2 linked regions of the Alligator mississippiensis genome follow. The protein of the gene in region 1 interacts with the protein of each later gene in a biochemical or structural test. Links are inferred from orthologs where the notes say so. Each region holds a gene or a part of one and is shown in the gene's direction. Other genes may lie near its edges. The genes, in order: SORBS1 and FLOT1.

What was found.
Region 2: the proteins of SORBS1 (region 1) and FLOT1 form a complex in vitro, tested with the Homo sapiens proteins (2 studies listed by BioGRID). The link is inferred for Alligator mississippiensis from reciprocal best matches to the Homo sapiens genes SORBS1 and FLOT1.

The regions. Positions count from the first base shown.
Region 1 is NC_081829.1:24,745,553-24,754,299, reverse strand, and holds the start of SORBS1 (sorbin and SH3 domain-containing protein 1), read left to right. Parts: upstream 1-5,421; 5' UTR 5,422-5,516; coding exon 5,517-5,548; intron 5,549-8,747. UniProt on the Homo sapiens protein: Plays a role in tyrosine phosphorylation of CBL by linking CBL to the insulin receptor. Required for insulin-stimulated glucose transport. Involved in formation of actin stress fibers and focal adhesions.
Region 2 is NC_081834.1:57,394,468-57,402,359, reverse strand, and holds the start of FLOT1 (flotillin-1), read left to right. Parts: upstream 1-4,230; 5' UTR 4,231-4,339; intron 4,340-4,468; 5' UTR 4,469-4,485; coding exon 4,486-4,528; intron 4,529-5,008; coding exon 5,009-5,084; intron 5,085-5,250; coding exon 5,251-5,341; intron 5,342-6,503; coding exon 6,504-6,647; intron 6,648-6,904; coding exon 6,905-7,024; intron 7,025-7,892. Other genes in the region: IER3 (radiation-inducible immediate-early gene IEX-1), read left to right, coding at 1-92, 1,090-1,350. UniProt on the Homo sapiens protein: May act as a scaffolding protein within caveolar membranes, functionally participating in formation of caveolae or caveolae-like vesicles.

The DNA.
Region 1 (8,747 bases):
CCCTCCCCTCTGTGTCTGCCTGGTTTCTCCCTGCTAAACAGGGATTATTCCTCTGCCCCTTTGCTTTATGCAGACACCTTGGCATTAGTTAGCAGACCACATGCTGGCTACAGTCTGTGCTATGGGAGAGACAAAAGCAGACAGGTTGTTTTGGAGCTGATCAACAGGTAGCTTAATGTCCTTCCTTGGAAATGTTTTATGAGAAGAGCTGCTTGCTCCCCTCTCTGTCCCTCACCACTCTCTGTGAAGCACAGATTTCTCCCTCCCCTCTGCTTTGGGAGAGGTGTCTGTGTATTAGCCAGCAGACCACATGCTGGGTCTGTGCTGAATTAACAGATAGCTGGTAACCTCTCTTTGTTTTCTTAATGGGGCAATAAACACTGAGATAAGGGTAATAAATACTGTTATCAGCTCCCCACTCACCCAGGCTTGCTTGCCTGTCAGTTTGCTGCAGACAGTATATAGAAGCAGGGAGGGAAAGTGAAAAGCTCTGTATCATCAGCAGATGCATACACTGCACACCCTGACTTGCCTCAGAGTGCAGGCTGGCAACACTTGTCCCCTTTGAGCAGTGAGCAGGGAAAAGGCTGGGACTGTAGGCATGGTGGGGGTTTACACCCCTCCCTAATCAGAGCCCTGCTGGGGCCTCAGTTTAGCTCTGTGGAAGGGCAGGGCTCCAGCCTAAGCCACTGCAGGCATGTGCCTGAGTTTCCTTAGTGCAGAGAGATTATCTGTATGGTTGGAAACCGGTTAAGCTTAGCCAAGTTAAAGTAACCTACAAAGTTTGAATCAGTTCAGGCTCAGGCTTTTTGAATGTCTGTCCCTAGCCGTAAGGGCCGTTTCCAGTCCATCACACTGCTGGTGATCATTACCTTATGTGAAATGAGTGGGATTCTATGTGAAGTAGGTGCAGGCTGGCAAGAGAAGGCTACAGTCTGGCTTGTCATTATCTAATCCTGTTTATAAAAGGTCAGTGTTTGTTATTCTTTTATAGGAGGGTAACAGAGCCGGAGTTCTCTTGCCATCCAGGAGTTATTGGGTACAGCGTGTTTGATCCTCCCCTGCCCTGCACTTGTACAAGGTGGTGGTGGTGGAGATGACCTTGTCCCAATTACTGTGTTTTACTACCACTATACAGTACAGCGTGCCAGAGGGTGAATCAGGCTCCTTGTGGGAGCTGGCAGCAGGCCTGGGCCCAGGTATTTCGTGGTTGGTGTAGCACCCATTCTTTTCAGTGGGATTTACCATCATTTAACTAAGTCTCTATTCTTGTCGTCTTCCCTGAGGTACCATGTCTATTCAGGAAACATAACCCGTTTAAAGTACTTCTCTGCCTGGGTTCCTAAAGTGGGTGCTGCTTTCAGTCCTTAGATTGCAGCCAGGAGACTAAACAAGTGTGTTTCCCTTCCCTGTCACTTGGGGAAGAGCCTTTTTTGCCAGCTTATCTCTGACCTATGCTCCCCTTTCCCACAGACGGTCAGCTGGTTACAGGTTTCCTGCTGGATTAATGGTCAGATTACTGTAAAGAGGCCACTTGCCTACCTCTTGACCTCTGCTGACCCTGCATAGTTGCCTTGAGTAGATATAGGGGCAGGAGTTCTTGCTTCTAAGAACAAGTCTGGGGTTGGGAGGAGGTTGGTGGGGGGTTAGGAACATATTAAAGAGGGCTAGCAGAGGCCATCTCTTCACAGCGAGTGAAAAGCTTGGCATCTAGTGACTACCTGAACAAGACACAAACAGTGCTATGCTGCAGTTGCCTCTTGGGCCATACCGCTTTTACAGTAAGCTGCCTACCAGATATATCAGGGTGCCAGCCTTAGAATTCTGAGCATCACATGACTGGGTTTTGCTGTACCAGGCTCCAAAATTCAGTCTCAGTTCTGAGCTACCTTAGAGATCCAGGAGTTTGGAGCAGCAAGGTCCATTTGGGCTCATCCCTGATTGCTCTTTGGGCTCTGGGAAACATTGAAATCAGAATGCATGTGGATTTTTGGTAACCAGCTAGAAACACAAACAAGGCTTGCTGAGGTTTGCAGATAACTGAATGAGTCTCTGCTTATTTATAGTATTGTGTGGAAGTTGAGCAAAAGCAATATCTGTAACTGAATTTAACACTGAGATTTAACCCCAAGAATTCAAAAGGAATAGAACTGAATTTACAGCATTCTACACTACTTTGGAAGTGTCAGGGACCAGCTCCCCTTCTTTTCCTGCTGAAGAAGCCAATTTGCCCCTTCCCAAGTACATCTTCTCCTGAGATCTCAGGAACCAGTTTTTCCCAAGCCCCCACTGTGGCACAGAACTCTGTAATTCCTCTTCTGAAACAATGACCTGGTACCTTCATTGACACTGAGGGACCACATGCACAAGAAACTGTGATACAGCTGAGGGGAGTCATGCATGAGTAGCTGTCTAAGGCAATCGTGGTATGAAGGGTGCTATTCCTGTAGTGAACTTTTCTGCCTGGTTTGGAACTAGAAGCAAAACCCATTCATTCACAAATCCTGGGCCTGCCAAAGATTTTCTGTGCAACTTCTGAGCAAGTCTCTGTCACTCCTGGCATGTTTATGCTACTGAAGAGCATGCGCCACTTCTCTGCTTTTGCTTTGCACAGGTCAAACCTGGAAATGAGGCAGTGAAGCTGCCCTGTAGCACTGCTGTCAAGATCTGTCTGGCTCTGCCTCATTTTGAGACTGGTGTGTGTGAAATGCCATGGTTCTGGGTGGTACTTTTTAAGACTACTACAGAAGCAACATTGACATGCCCTTTGACTTTCTGTTCCTCATGTGTAATAATAATATTAATAATACACTTCCCTACTGCATGGGATGTTAGGAAGGCAAACAACATTAAAGAAGGTGAGGTGCTGTCCCACGCTTTAATTACACCAGTGGACTTTAAATTGAAGCTACCACAGGGTTAGTTTTTATTATTGCAGCTTTGTTGCAAGATGTCTGCCATTGTTCCAAAGCTTTGCGCCTCATCTTCAGGGGTGGTTTTAAACACAGCAGAGCGTGTGGCTTCTTGGACTAGTGCAGTAACCTTAGTAGCTCATAGCCCACTATCCCTGGTCCTTTAATGCATATGGTAGCAGCACTCCAGATGAAAAATGTACACAGCTTAAGTTTCTCTCCCCTTTTGGGGGTCCCACCCGATTCAGAAGACCTGGTTCATTACCTCTTAGCTTGAGGCCCTGCAAATCCTACACCAAGGAAATCCAAATCCAGCCTAACCTGTTATCTGAACTCCTCTGAACCTTGGCTCTGGATCCAAGCCTTGCCTCCCTGGCTCCTCTCTATCTAGTCTCTGTGTCACTCATGACTCCTCTTGCTGTTATTTTTACACAGAGTACTCTCTTGACATTTTAATGGTGTTCATTTTTATTACCTGAAAACAAACTGTCAGAGGCTTGTTTACAAACCCTTGGTACACAGCAGGCAGAGAGGCCTTGTAGCTGACAGGCATTCTCACGTGGTTAGGCACCAGAAACAGACTTGGACAAGAGGACCAAGATATCTTCTGGTGGATCTCCTATCTTGTAGGGACATGTAAACAGTGTGCAGTTAATCTAATCAGAACTGCCAGCAGATGCACCATTTATTTTGGAAACTGTGTGTTCGTTTTGGTCAGTCTTCCTGCTTTTGTTGGTGCAGTTGGGTTTGTTTTGTAGAGGGGCCACAGCAGGGGCTGACTACTCAGAACACAAGTGTTTTCCATGATCCTTTAGATTGACTGTAAAATATGCCTAAATTAACTTCTGAATCCCAACATGCATGGAGCTCAAGTTGTGTACGAGCCCAGATCCAAATTTCACAGTGAGCCAAATCCACTCAAAATTCCAGCTCTAAGCTGTTTCTTCTGCCATTTGCACATTTGAAACCAGATATGAATTTTTGAGATTGGAATCCCCTTTAACACTGGCAATAACTGATGACGCACATTTAGTACATTGATACACTGACCTTCAGATGTGCAATCAATTCTAAGTACGTGGGTAGACCAAAACTGCTTCCTAACCTCTTCAAATATATGAATCAATTTATTAGACCAGGACTTTAGGTGTCCCTGACGATACTTTAATGCTGCATTTGACTGGAGGTTGGTATTGGAATTCCAAAAGATGGGTTGGAAAATAGAAATAGGCTTTAGTTACTGTGAAACTGGCTCTAGATTTCAAACAGGCCCAGTGTTGTATATGTACCTATGCATACAGCCTGCAACTCGCTGCATTTCTGTTCCTTTCTTGGCCAATCTCTGTATCAGGCTCTTGTGAGACACTTGCCTTTTCATAGTTTGTGTACGCTGTATTATGTGGTGACCTGCGCACTCCAAATTTCTCCAGATCCTAAAACCGGGGCTTGGGTAGCAGGTTTGACCCTATGCAGTTGAATGGGAGATGAGCAGGAACAGCAGAGGCTTACTGGAGACCAGGACTTGACAGTCTCTTCTGCAGTATTAGCACTGGTGCCTGAGTCAGTGGCTGAAAACCACTGGACTGGAATGCATAGTCTGGCATAGCGTATTTGCCAGGTTTGGCTTGACACTGATCTTCTGGGTGGCCTTGGAGAAGTCACTTATAGGAAGACAGCCCTCCTGGGCTCTTTGTTGCCTGTGTGCATACACTTGAAGAGTTGCTGCTCAGAGAGAAGAGGGGTGTGGCCCTACCCTCTGGCCTCAGTACCTGGCAGATCAAGGCTGTCGCAAGACAGGTACTCACTGCCCTCTTCCAAAGGCTGACACTGCTCCTTCTCTATCGTGCGTCTCCCTCCAGAAGGAATCCTGGCTCAGCCAGCCTCTTCTAAAGACCCTTCTCTTCCCTAGACACCCCAATGTGAGCTCAGACTCTATGGCTCCCTCTGCCTGATATATTTCACAGGAATCCCCATGGAGCTGAGCCTTTCTTTCTCTCTCAAGCACATGATTTCTCTGTGTATCAAGTATTTATACTACAGACCTCAGTCTGCCAATAGTGGGAACACAAGCCAGCTCCTCTGATCCTAGTCATTGAAACAGGATCTCTGGCTCCCGTAGACACATGCTAATGAAAATGTAATGAAAATGTTCTCGTCGACAGGCAGACGCTGCCTGCCCCCTCCCCTCCCCACGCACGGCAGTCTCCATGTGCTTCACCAACTATTTTTGTAAAGGTCTGTCCCTCATTTACCTTCCATCCCCCTCCTGCCCCCACCCCCTCCCCATGCTGTATCCGCCCAGGCATCAGATCTGCTGGAATAGTCCATGTATGCATGATGTCAGAGGCAAAGGAATGCAAGGCAGGCTGGGAGGAGGCGGTTGATTGTGAGCAAGCCTGGTGACAGAATGACATGACTAAGAGCCAGCCGGCTAATTAAAGCAGAGAGGTGGGAGGAGCAAAGTATTTAAGGGTGCCAGGGAGGGTGAGGCCTCCCCAAACTTCTCCTTACACTTCAGTGAGCCAAGCAGCAGAGCAACACAGAGCAAGCCTTTGTTAACCCTTTCACGTCTCACCTCTGGTTAAACCGGGTAGGTGCCAGAAAATGGCACCTTTAACTGAAAAGCCTGATCCAAGGTAAGGATGCTACTGTCTGATTTCTGACTAGCAAAATGCCTCTGGTGCTTTGCCCTCCCAGGCCTTTGTGTGGTACTGGCCTTGGATGAGTGCAGTGTTAGCTTGCACCAGCTGGGGTGACACTCATTACTTTGCAGATCATCTATCAGTTAGAAGAAAGGAGTTATCCATGTATTTTTGAAAGGGTTTCACATTGCCCTGCATTCCTGGAGATGGGCAAGTCCTGACCTCCATTTCTTCTTCCTTTCTACCAGAGTACCAGGGAAAAGGGGAGTTTGCAAAATTTGTGTATTGGTTTTAATACTGGCTTGTCACTGAATTTGGAGTGATAGGCACAAATCTGGGCTTTTGCCCGTTTTATTTTGCATCTTATGCTCAAATGTTTTGAATCCTATCTTTCTTTTATTAATTCTTTTGGGCAATTCAACTAGTGTGGGTATTAAACTAGAAAAATGAAGAGAATGGGCATTTAAAGAGTGGTTTTTGAGGGTAATGCTTTGCTATTCCTGAAGGCACTTTGAATGTGAGGTCAAATTTGGCCTCTGCCTTTTAACATTTCAGATCAATCTATACGTGAAATATTCTTCCTAGGGCCTTTCTAGCGCTGGGTGCATGCATAGCAATTACAGTCTTAATTTTAGTCTGTAAATGACATCAGAGCCAGCATCGTCCAGTGGACGAAGCCTAGGATTAAGAGTCAGGACTTCTGATTCTGTTCCCAGATGTGCTTCTGTCATGCTGTGTGCCTTTGGGCATGTCACTGTGGCCACTCATTTGTGTTCAGCTAGAGTTTGTGCCAATCGTACTGGCTATAAAGCCAGCACAACCAGCCCCCCCGGGGGAACAGACCCAGCAGAGTGACTACACTACACTACACCTCCTCTGTGCAGTCCGTGGCATAAGAGTATGTGACCCAGAAGAGGAGAGCACATCTAGAGTTACCCCTGTGCATTAGTTAAACTTGGCTTTTGCAACAGGTTGTTACAGCTGTACATGCATCTCAAGAGTTTGCTTTTATTCTTTAGCTTATGCTGGAAAGGACCAGATTATTCCCTTAGAATTTGGTTCCTATCTTCCCCTCAATCCTGTACCAGTTTAGTTGATTTTAGCTGCAGTTAAAAATTGGGGCCTGCATCTCCCATCGCTGTACGATGCTGCCTTATTGCTTACATGCCTACCTTATGTGCTGCTGAATTTGTGAACATTTGTGTGCAGTGCTTTGAAGAAAAACGTGAATTGTTAACACTGGTCCCCAATTAAAAAAACTCAGTACTAGTAGCTAACAGTTTTCACAGTGTATGATCAGAGATACCAGGGATTAGTGCATGATCAGAAATGTGTTCCCCATATCTTAGACAGTTAGGGAGCTTGGTATCATCAGATGTTGCAGTGCAGTGACGTCCTATTCTTAGAGACACCGCTTGTTTAAATCTAGGTAGCAGTATTATTAAAGAGCTGCTTTATTCATGCATCTCACTGCAAATCTTAACCTCCCCACTCATGTTTTAAGGGAGTTTTTATCTGTATATAAATTTTATAGTTTAGGCCAATCTCTTCTTAACATTTTGACAATGACAAATGGTTTTACTCAGATTTATTTACTGCTTCATTTGTTAGTAGCTGTATAACTTGAAAGCTGCCTTCAACATTGTTTTACTGCACAAAGTTACATCATGAGGAGATTGATGGATACTTTTGGGATTATCTAATCTATTGTGTTTATAGGGTGCCATTCAGGGTAGAAAACAGGCAGTTTATTATGTGTCTGTGTCTCTGGAGAGTTGCATCAAAATTCTGTGGCCAGCTGCATGACTCCATGGCTTTAGTACTGCAAATAATTGGGGTTTCTGGAATTTGCAGCCATGATTGTGTCCATTCATTTGGAACAGATGTTCTGCAAAATCAGAAATTCCCCCAAATTCAAGGTGCCTATTGCCATAAGCATAGTACAAGAGTCTCTAAATTGCACATGTATTCCAACCAACTTGGGCCAAATGAATCCATTGTATACAGCTCACATATTTTCTCTGAGCTGAAATGTAAAACCAATAACACTAGGCCTGTGCAAAATGGAAAGTATTCATTTCAGATTTGGATTTGGCAATTCGGAGGGACAGTGATTCGATTAGGTGATTCGAATCACTGTCCTGATTTTGATTTGGCCAAATCCGAAGATATTCAGCACCGAATCCTATTCAGCCATAGACTATACAGGCAGGCAGTGCCAGTAGGAGCGGCTGGGGGAGCAGTCGGACAAGCCCTGGCTTGAGCCGGCAGCCCCGGGAAAAGGCATGGTTTGTCTGACTGCTTCCCCCACCCCCCCCAGTGGGATGAGGCAGGCAGTGCTGGCTGCCCTGGGACAAGCCACAGGGGCTGGGGGAAATGACTGGGGAGCTGGGAGATCAAACTGGGAGCTGTGGGGAAGCCCCTATTTGTTCCCCCAGCCCCTGATCATTCCTCCCAACCCCTGTGGCTTCTCCTGGGGCTGGCAGCACTGCCTGCCTCACTCCAGTGGGGGAGCAGCGGACGAGCCACAGCTTGAGCCGGCAGCCCTGGGAGAAGCTGTGGGGCCTGGGGGGAATGATTGGGGAGCTAGGGGAAATGATTAGGGGCTGGGGGAACAAACAGAGGCTTCCCCCCAGCTCCCAGTTCAGTCCCCCAGCTACTGACCATTCCTCTGAGCTCCCCATTTATTCCCCCCAGCCCCTGCAGCTTCTCCTGGGGCTGCCAGCCCTGCCTCATCCTAGTGGGGGGCCAGCCAGGGGACAAGCTGCATCTTTTCCTGGGGCTGCTGGCTCAAGCCAGGGCTCATCCGGTTGTTCCCCCAGTTGCTTTTGCCAGCACTGCCTAGTGCCTGCCTGTACAGTCTATGGCCAAATCTCCGAATCTCTCCGAATCTTTCTGAATCCATTTGGAGGCTTCCGATTCAATTCGGAGTGTTTAATGAGTCTCCCAATTTGATCTGGATTCAGGGATTTGGCTGCTGAATAGGGCCGAATCTCCTCCAGATTGAATTGGCTACCAAAGCTTCACGTAGCTCTACCAAACACCTATGGTAATTGTGGATCCCATGATACTTTTTGAAGGAACAGGGTGTACTAAACCTGGAGTCATTAACTTCATTTCCTCTTATTAATTCTGACCATATTGAAATTCTAGTTATTACATTCTCCTCACAGCCTCCCTAAGATTAGGTACC
Region 2 (7,892 bases), on another chromosome or scaffold:
TCACCTTCGACCCGCTGCCCGAGCCCCGGGCCCGGCCCTGGCCTCGGCCTCGGCCCCGCCGCCGCGCCCCGCGCGTGCTCTACCCGCCCGTGGTGAGCCCGCGCTTCGAGGACGGCGGGGGATGGGGGTGGCTGGGACGATGGGGTGTGGGGAGGACGCCTGGGGAGATGGGGATCGCTGCGGGGCAGGACGCCTGGGTCCCTGGAGGAAGGGGGGAGCCGGGCCAGCAGGACCCCTGGGTCCCCGGGGGGGCACGGCCGGCTCCCAGCAGGGCCTGGCCGGGGAGGCCGTGGGGGACTCGAGGCGGGGCCCGGGCTCCTGGTTCTGGGGGGTCTTGCCCCGTGCCAGGACCCCCGTGCCTCAGTTTCCCCAGTGCAGGCGGAGGAGCAGCAGAGACGCCCCTTCGCCCTCCCCGGCTGTGACTCGGCCCCGGTGACTCGGCTCCAACCTGCTGCTGCTTATCCCAGCCTGCCCCGGGGCTCCAGCGCCTGGGCTCCCCAATCCCCACTGCTGCCCTGGCCCGGCCAGATGACGGGGCAGCACGTGGCCTGGGCTGGTGACTCGCCCCTTAGGAAGCAGTGTGGGGCACAGGACACGCGATAGGCCGGGCACAGCTGGAGTCTCCTTCTGTGCTGTGGGGCCAGGCCAGGTTGGGGGCGAAGCATTCTGGGTAATGGCCGTGCTGAGCTTGGAGTCTGGTGGGAGCCAGGCATTCTGGGTAATGTCCCTCGGCTGGGGCCTGAGGGGGCTCCTAGCTGGGTGCAAAGCATTGTGGGTAACGTGCTAGTGATATGGCTTAGGAGGCATTCCTGGCCTGCTGCAGCATGAGACATGCTGGGGCTGGCACAAGGCATTCTGGGTTGTCATAGGTGCAGGGCATTCTGGGTAAAGGTGCCGGGGATTGGGGCTATGAGGCACAAGGCAGTCTCCGTGGCACCAGTAGGTGCCGGTCCCATCACTGGGTTGGTTATGAGGTATTCTTGCCTGGGCATGAGGCAATCTGGGTAACGTGAGGCATTTGGGGTGCCTTGTGAGCCTTGTGGCAGTACATTGTGAGTAACCTGGTGGCTCTCTCCTCTTTCCTCCCAGGTGAAGCGATACTACCCACCGGAGGAGCGCTGCTTCGCCAAGCGCCTGCTGGTCGTGCTTTTGGCCATCCTCTTCTTCCAGATCTACAGCGCCGATGAAGACCTCCCCATGGGCCCCAGCGAGGTCGGAGGGGCCTTGTATGACCCCCCCATCCACGAAGATCCCCTGGCTCCTGCCAGTGCTGTGCCGTGGTCCTGCCGCCCCCACGACCCCACTGTAGACATCTCCCAGTTCCTGGCCTGCAACCCAGCTGCCTTCTGAAGGCCTGGCCCGCCTTGGTGAGGGGATTGTGGGGGACAGCCTGGCACCCAAGGGGGTTCCAGGCCCTGGCTGCTAAGGGGTTAACCCTGCCTCGTTAGGAGCTGCTGCTTCTGAAGGACCCAGTGTCAGCTGCAACTTGAAGCCTCCAGAGCAGGGAAGACTGACATTCAGGCCCGGCGCGGGTCGCTGGTGGACAGTGTTGGGATGATTAATATTAATATTAATATTTATTTAATATTGTTATTGTTATTAATTATTTAAATTATATTTATTGTAATAATGGTGTATTTATGGAGGGGTCTCTTGATAACTTAAAGGAACTGAATAAAAACCATGTGACTAGTCATGCCTGTGACATGTTGTGGGACCTGTCTTGTCCTGTGTCGGGGGTCATTGGAGTGGTAAGAGTCAGATGCCCCCCACCCCCAAGATACCCCATGGAGGGGCAAAGCTCAATGCCTGTTGGGTGTCTTGGAGGAGGGAAGGGAAAGGATTGGCCAATCGGGTGGTTGTGGAGCCTTCCTGGTAGTCTGGTGGGTTGGGTTAGAGTGGGAAGATGAGTTAAGGTATTGACACGCCCCCACCATGGAAAAAGGAATTGGCTTTCCCTTATTGAGGTGTCCCTCTTCAGTGAGGGAAGCTGATTTTTTTTTTTTTTTTTTTTTTTGCTGCCCAAAAAGAGCAGCAGTAGCACTCCTATTCAGCTCCCCAGCAAAATTGACTAGACTCCTGCTAACCTCTTTCCTCTAGGTGTTAACAGCCCTCTCTCCCCTTATGTCTTAATTACCTTGATGTGCTGCTAAGTAAGCATATCTTGATGATCCATTTGCATCCCTCTTCTCCCCCCTCCCCCCCACCCCAGTTCCTCTTATTTCACAACCCTGAGGACTGTCTTCTAGTAATGCTTTTGAAATATGAGGTTGGCCCATAGAGTGGATTTTCCCACAGCATGTAAGGCTTCAGCTTTTGGCTGGATATCCAAGAGTTGCTGACAAATTTAGCTGTGGGGGGAGGGGAGGGGTGTTAAAAGTGGAGGAGCAGGATGGGAAGGTGGGGGAGTGGATTGGCTACTGTCTGGCCAATCCACCTCCCCAAAAAGAAGGCTGGGTGATTTTTTTTGGGGGGGGGGGGGGGGGCGGGCACCAGAAGAAAAAAAACAGAGCAGCAGGTTGGCTCAGCTTTGTGAGGAGTATGTGGGGCCTGGTGCCCGGGTGTCTGTTCCCAGGGCATGGGGGATGAGAGCGGGGACGAGGGGACGAGTGCCTGGATCCTGCTATTTGACTGGAGTTGTGTCCTCTCCAGCAATGACATCAGAGTTGATCCCAGTGACCTTGAACCTGATTGGGGGGGGAGGGGGGGTAATGCACTGCCATGGTGTGAAGCTGCCTACCCGCATGTGGGCCTGTGACTAAGCTGCCCTGTACTGGCTGGTGTGGGGGTGATTTCTCAACCACTGTTCTCAGAGCTGTGTAGTCATAGGCAGACCCAGCACCCATGGGGAAGTCCCATCTCCATCCACCCACCTCCATCCATTGGGTCCTCACATCCACTGCCCCCTGCACCTCCTCCCTTCCCTCCACCGCATGCTCCCTGCACCTGTTGCCTCTCCCTTTCCATCTATTGTTCTATGCCTGCATCTTCTTCCCTCACTCCATGCCCACAGGACCTCTCCATCCACCCACTGATTCATTTGTCCACCTACATCTCCTTTCATCTGCCTATCCGTTGCTCCACCCCCACATCCTCTTCCTTCCTTCCTTCCTGGCACAACACATTCACCCCCTGCCACCAGTCCCCTCCATCCATCCCCGGTAGTCCCTTCCTTCCTTCCCTCTCTCTCCATGCTGTACCTCCCCACCCCATGCACACTCCATCTGTCACCCGGTCTCTTTCCTTCCTTCCCCCTTACCCCACTCTCCTGATTTCCCCCCCCGGCCCAGTCCAGGAGTCCATCTGTCCATCCAAGACCACCCCCATCTCAATCTATCTGTCCATCCCACTTTCTCAGAGCTATTCCTGGCCAAGGCCACGGCTGGGCCCTGCCCTTGGCGGTGTTGATAAGGGGCTATTTTCTGCACAGAGAACACGGCATCCTTGCCTAGCTGGAGGTGGGGAGCAGGGGCGGGACTCCTGGGTTCTCTGGGAGTTGCGGGGCTGAGGGGGGATTGGGGGTGTTGAACTGAAATGTCCTGCTCAGTCCCGCAGACAGATCTCTCCTGCCTGATGGGGGGGTGGGGTGTGTGTGTGGGGGGGGGTGGGGGTTGAAGCGTGGACTCCATGCATGTGCATGGGCACATGCATGTGTTTCCTGGGTGCCTGGGTTCATTGTGTGTGCACAACACACCTGGGTTCTGTGCGTGTTTGTGCGCTGGACGCCTGCGTTCTGTGTGCGGGTCCCAGAGGCATGTATGTGCGTGCGTGCGTGCATGCATGTGTGCCCCGGATGCCTGGGTTCCCTGCATAGGCACCTCCCAGGCTGCTTTGCCACCCCCCTCCCCCCTTCTTGTTCATGGCCGGGCCCGGCTTCCCGGACCTGCCGCCAGCGGTGCCCGCAGCCACATCCGGCCCCGCTTCTGGCACCAGGCCCGTGGGAAGGGGGGGGACCCCCCCGCTCTCCATCTAAGGGCACCACAGGACCCACCCCTGCCCTGCCATGGAGCTGGGGAAACAGGCGGGGTGGGGAGGGGCGGGGCCTGGGCACTTGGGCTGTCTGGGGCGGGAGAAGGGGGCGGGGCCTCCTGGGCTCTAGGCCTAGACTCCTCCCCCTCCCCCGCCCAGCCGGTGGCCCTCGCCCCCGCCCCGCAGCGTCCCGCCCCCGCCGCCCGGCCCTGCAGCGCTCCCCGCCGCCAGCAGGGGGCAGCCCCCGCCCGGCAGCAGGAGGCCGCCGCAGGGGCTCGGGCGGGGGCTGCCGGGAGCGGGGCGGATCCGGGCGAGGCTGCGGCAGGAAGGCGGCAGGAGCCTGCGGATCGGGATCGGGCCCGGGCACGGGGTAATTGCGGGGGAGGGAGCCCCGGTGACCGGCCAGATGAGACCCCCGATCCGCCGGGCTCTCGGGGAGGGGTGGGGAGGCTGGGAGCCCGGCCGCCTGGGTCCCATGCCCCTGTGTCTCTCCCCGCAGCCCCCGCTGCTGCCACGATGTTTTTCACTTGCGGCCCCAACGAGGCCATGGTGGTGTCAGGTGAGTCGCACCCCAGAGCCGGCTGCGTCCCGGGCCCTGGGCTGTTTTATGTGGCTGTCCCCAGCTGCCCTACCCCAGAGCCAGCTGCATTGGGGGGAGGGGGGATGTCCCTGGGCTGTTCTGTGCAGCCATTGTCCTGCCCCACCCTAGAACCAGTTGCATCCCAGCTTGGCTGCTTCCATATGCTGTTATATGTGGTGGTCTCCTGCTTCACCCCAGAGCCAGCTGCAACTCCAGCCTCTCAGCCATTCTTTGTGGCCATTGCCACCTGCTTCACCTCAGACGCTGCTGCTTCCCAGCCTAGGGGGGCTCCCTGGGCTGGTCTGGGTGGCTGTTCCCGTCCCACCCCAGAGCTAGCTGCATTGCCAGCTTGGGGGTCTCCTTGGGCCAATCTATGTAGGTGTCCCCAACTATCCCACCCCAGAGCCAGCTGCATCTGGGCACGAGGTGGCTGTTAACCCTTTGCTCCCTTTGCCGCAGGCTTCTGCCGCAGCCCCCCTGTGATGGTGGCTGGGGGCCGGGTCTTCGTCCTGCCCTGCATACAGCAGATCCAGAGGCGAGTCCCAGGAAGGGGTACTTCCGGGGGGGGGGTCTAGAGCCCATTGATTTGGTTGGGGGGGTGCTGAATTGGAAAGACCCATTGAACTGGTCCCTAGTGGGGGGAGGGGTGCCAGGGATTGGGCAATCTCTCCTCTGCCGACCCCCTGCCTCCACCCTCGCAGGATCTCCCTGAACACGCTGACCCTCAACGTGAAGAGCGAGAAGGTCTACACCCGCCATGGGGTCCCCATCTCTGTCACTGGCATCGCCCAGGTAACCCCCCGGTCGCCATAGGGATGGGAGAGATCCCTCCTGCCCCCTTCCCTCAGTGGTACGGCCAGTACCCTCCCCCCACCCCCACCATGGTACTAGCCACCCCCTACTCCCAATACCCCATGGGACTGCCCCTGCTGACCCCCCTCCACATTCCTGACAGTGGTATTGGCAGTTCTCCCTCAGCCCACCCCCATTACCCCCATGTGGTACCTTCCACTGGGCCCCCTTCCTTGTCACCCCCCTTGGTACTGGCCGTCTTGCCCTCCCCATTGGTACTCACTTCTGTGCTCCCCAACCCATCTCCCAGCTCATTCCCCTGTGGTCATTATCCCTGGCCCATTATGCTTTCCCCTATGTGGCACTGGCTACTTTCCCCATCCCCATGCTCCCCATGGTACCACCCACTGCCTCCCCCCAGTTCAGTCCCCTCAGTGGTACTGGCCAGGTCCTTCTCTCCTTCCCCCCCTCAAGTGGTACTGTCCATTTCCCCCTCATGGTACCAGTCATCTTTCCCCAAAAGTGTCCCACAATGGTACCACCCATAGTACCCCATTCCCTGAAATAGTACTGCACACCCCCCAGCATGTTCCTTCATGGTACTGGCCACTCCCTCCACCACTCTGTCCCCCCCCCCAGTTACCCTTAGTGGTACTGGCCAGGTCCTTCTCTTCTCCCAAATGGTACTGGCTGTTCCCTCTCATGGTACCAGCCAGCCCCCACTCCCAGTTTCCCACAATGGTACCATCTGGGCTGCCCTATTTTCCCCCCACATTGGTATTTCCCTGCTATTCCCCCATGGTACTGCCCACCCCCCTTCCTCCATTCCACATGGTACCACCCATTGACCCTACCACCCCCACCCCCCAGTGGTATAGGACAGGTCTTTCTCCCTTTCTCCCCAAGTGGTACTGGCCAGTTCCCCCTCATGGTGCTTTCTGCACCCCCTCCCATGTCCTCCCCCCCCCCATGGTACCTTCCTTCCCAGCTCTGGGTACCAGGGCACCAGATTCCTCCCCCTGTTGGCTGTCACCTGGCAACCAGAGAAGTGGCCCCTTCTTCCTCTTAAAGGGGAAGTTACCCCCACAAGAGCATCCTTTGCGAGTGGGCTGGGTCTTGCCCTGCCCGACCTCGATTGCCCCGCTCCATCCCTGGGCCGCAGGTGAAGATCCAGGGGCAGAACAAGGAGATGCTGGCAGCCGCCTGCCAGATGTTCCTGGGCAAGACGGAGAGTGAGATCACCCACATTGCACTGGAAACGCTGGAGGGGCATCAACGTGCCATCATGGCCCACATGACCGTGGAGGTGGGTGCGGGTCCCTCCCTGCCCCCCAGTCTGCCCTGGTGTCCGTCTGTCGGGGGGAGATCAGGTGTGTGTCCATGTGTCCCTCCTTGCGTGGGGGGTTGTGGGAAAGGAGGGGCCCCTGGGACCAAGACCAGCTTAGGTGGGAGGGCCAGGGGGTGCATCTGTCTGCACATCTCTGGAGGAGGTTGGGTAGGTGTCCATCTGTCTGTCTTAAATCGGGGCACCCCTCAGGACTCACCCTGACCCCCCTCACCCAGGAGATCTACAAGGACCGACAGAAGTTCTCTGAGCAGGTCTTCAAAGTGGCCTCTTCTGACCTGGTGAACATGGGTATCAGCGTGGTCAGCTACACACTCAAGGACATCCATGATGACCAGGTACTTGGTAGCTGGGCTTGTCCACCCAGCCGCACCCCCACCCCCCCCCGGGGGAGGAAGGGGACCTGTGGGCAAGTCCATGGGCAGATCTAGGATTTGGAAATGCAAAGTGAGGTGGCAGCTAAGATGGTGCGTCATCAGCTAGAATACAACACACATTTTTATTCTGTCCAAGGGAAACTAGAAGCTACATGAATATGCTAAGGGGCCAGCGCTATAGAATTCAGTGTAGGAGCAAAGCAAAAACAAATGTAACTCCTGGAATGAGCAGGGGGTTGTGAACTAGGTCCTCCTGAGGTCCCTTCCAACCCAAATTTTCTATGATTCTATGAGTGTGCACTAGTTTATATGTGATCCTAGCAGTAATCTGATAGATGATATATAAAGTTTAAAAAGAAGTGCAACGAAGTAGGCAAACATTCAGGTTCCAATCAAAGTAGAAACAAATATAACTAATGCCATATGTGCTTATTTGCTAGATTATCTATTAAGCTTAAAAAACATACCAAACTAGGCAAAAAACAGACATAATTGTCTGCATGCATTTGTGTCTTTGGCCCTGTAGCTGTTCTACTTAAATGAACATCTCTTATTTGGATTCATAAAACAACATCTAGCCTTCTTGCAAGTTGCAACAATGACTCCAGTAGTTCAATCATTTCTACACCAGATTTAGAAATGGAAGGTGCAGAAGGGGGTGACGCATCATCTCATAGAACAGTGGTTCTCACAACCTTTTTCATACCAGGACCCATTTGTAAACATCAATGGCCAGACCCGACCCAGTACCCCTTACTTCCAACCTGCTGTCCCCTGCTATCTGTGTGTGGGGCAGGGTGTTGGGCAAGGGAAGCCCCACATAGGCTGG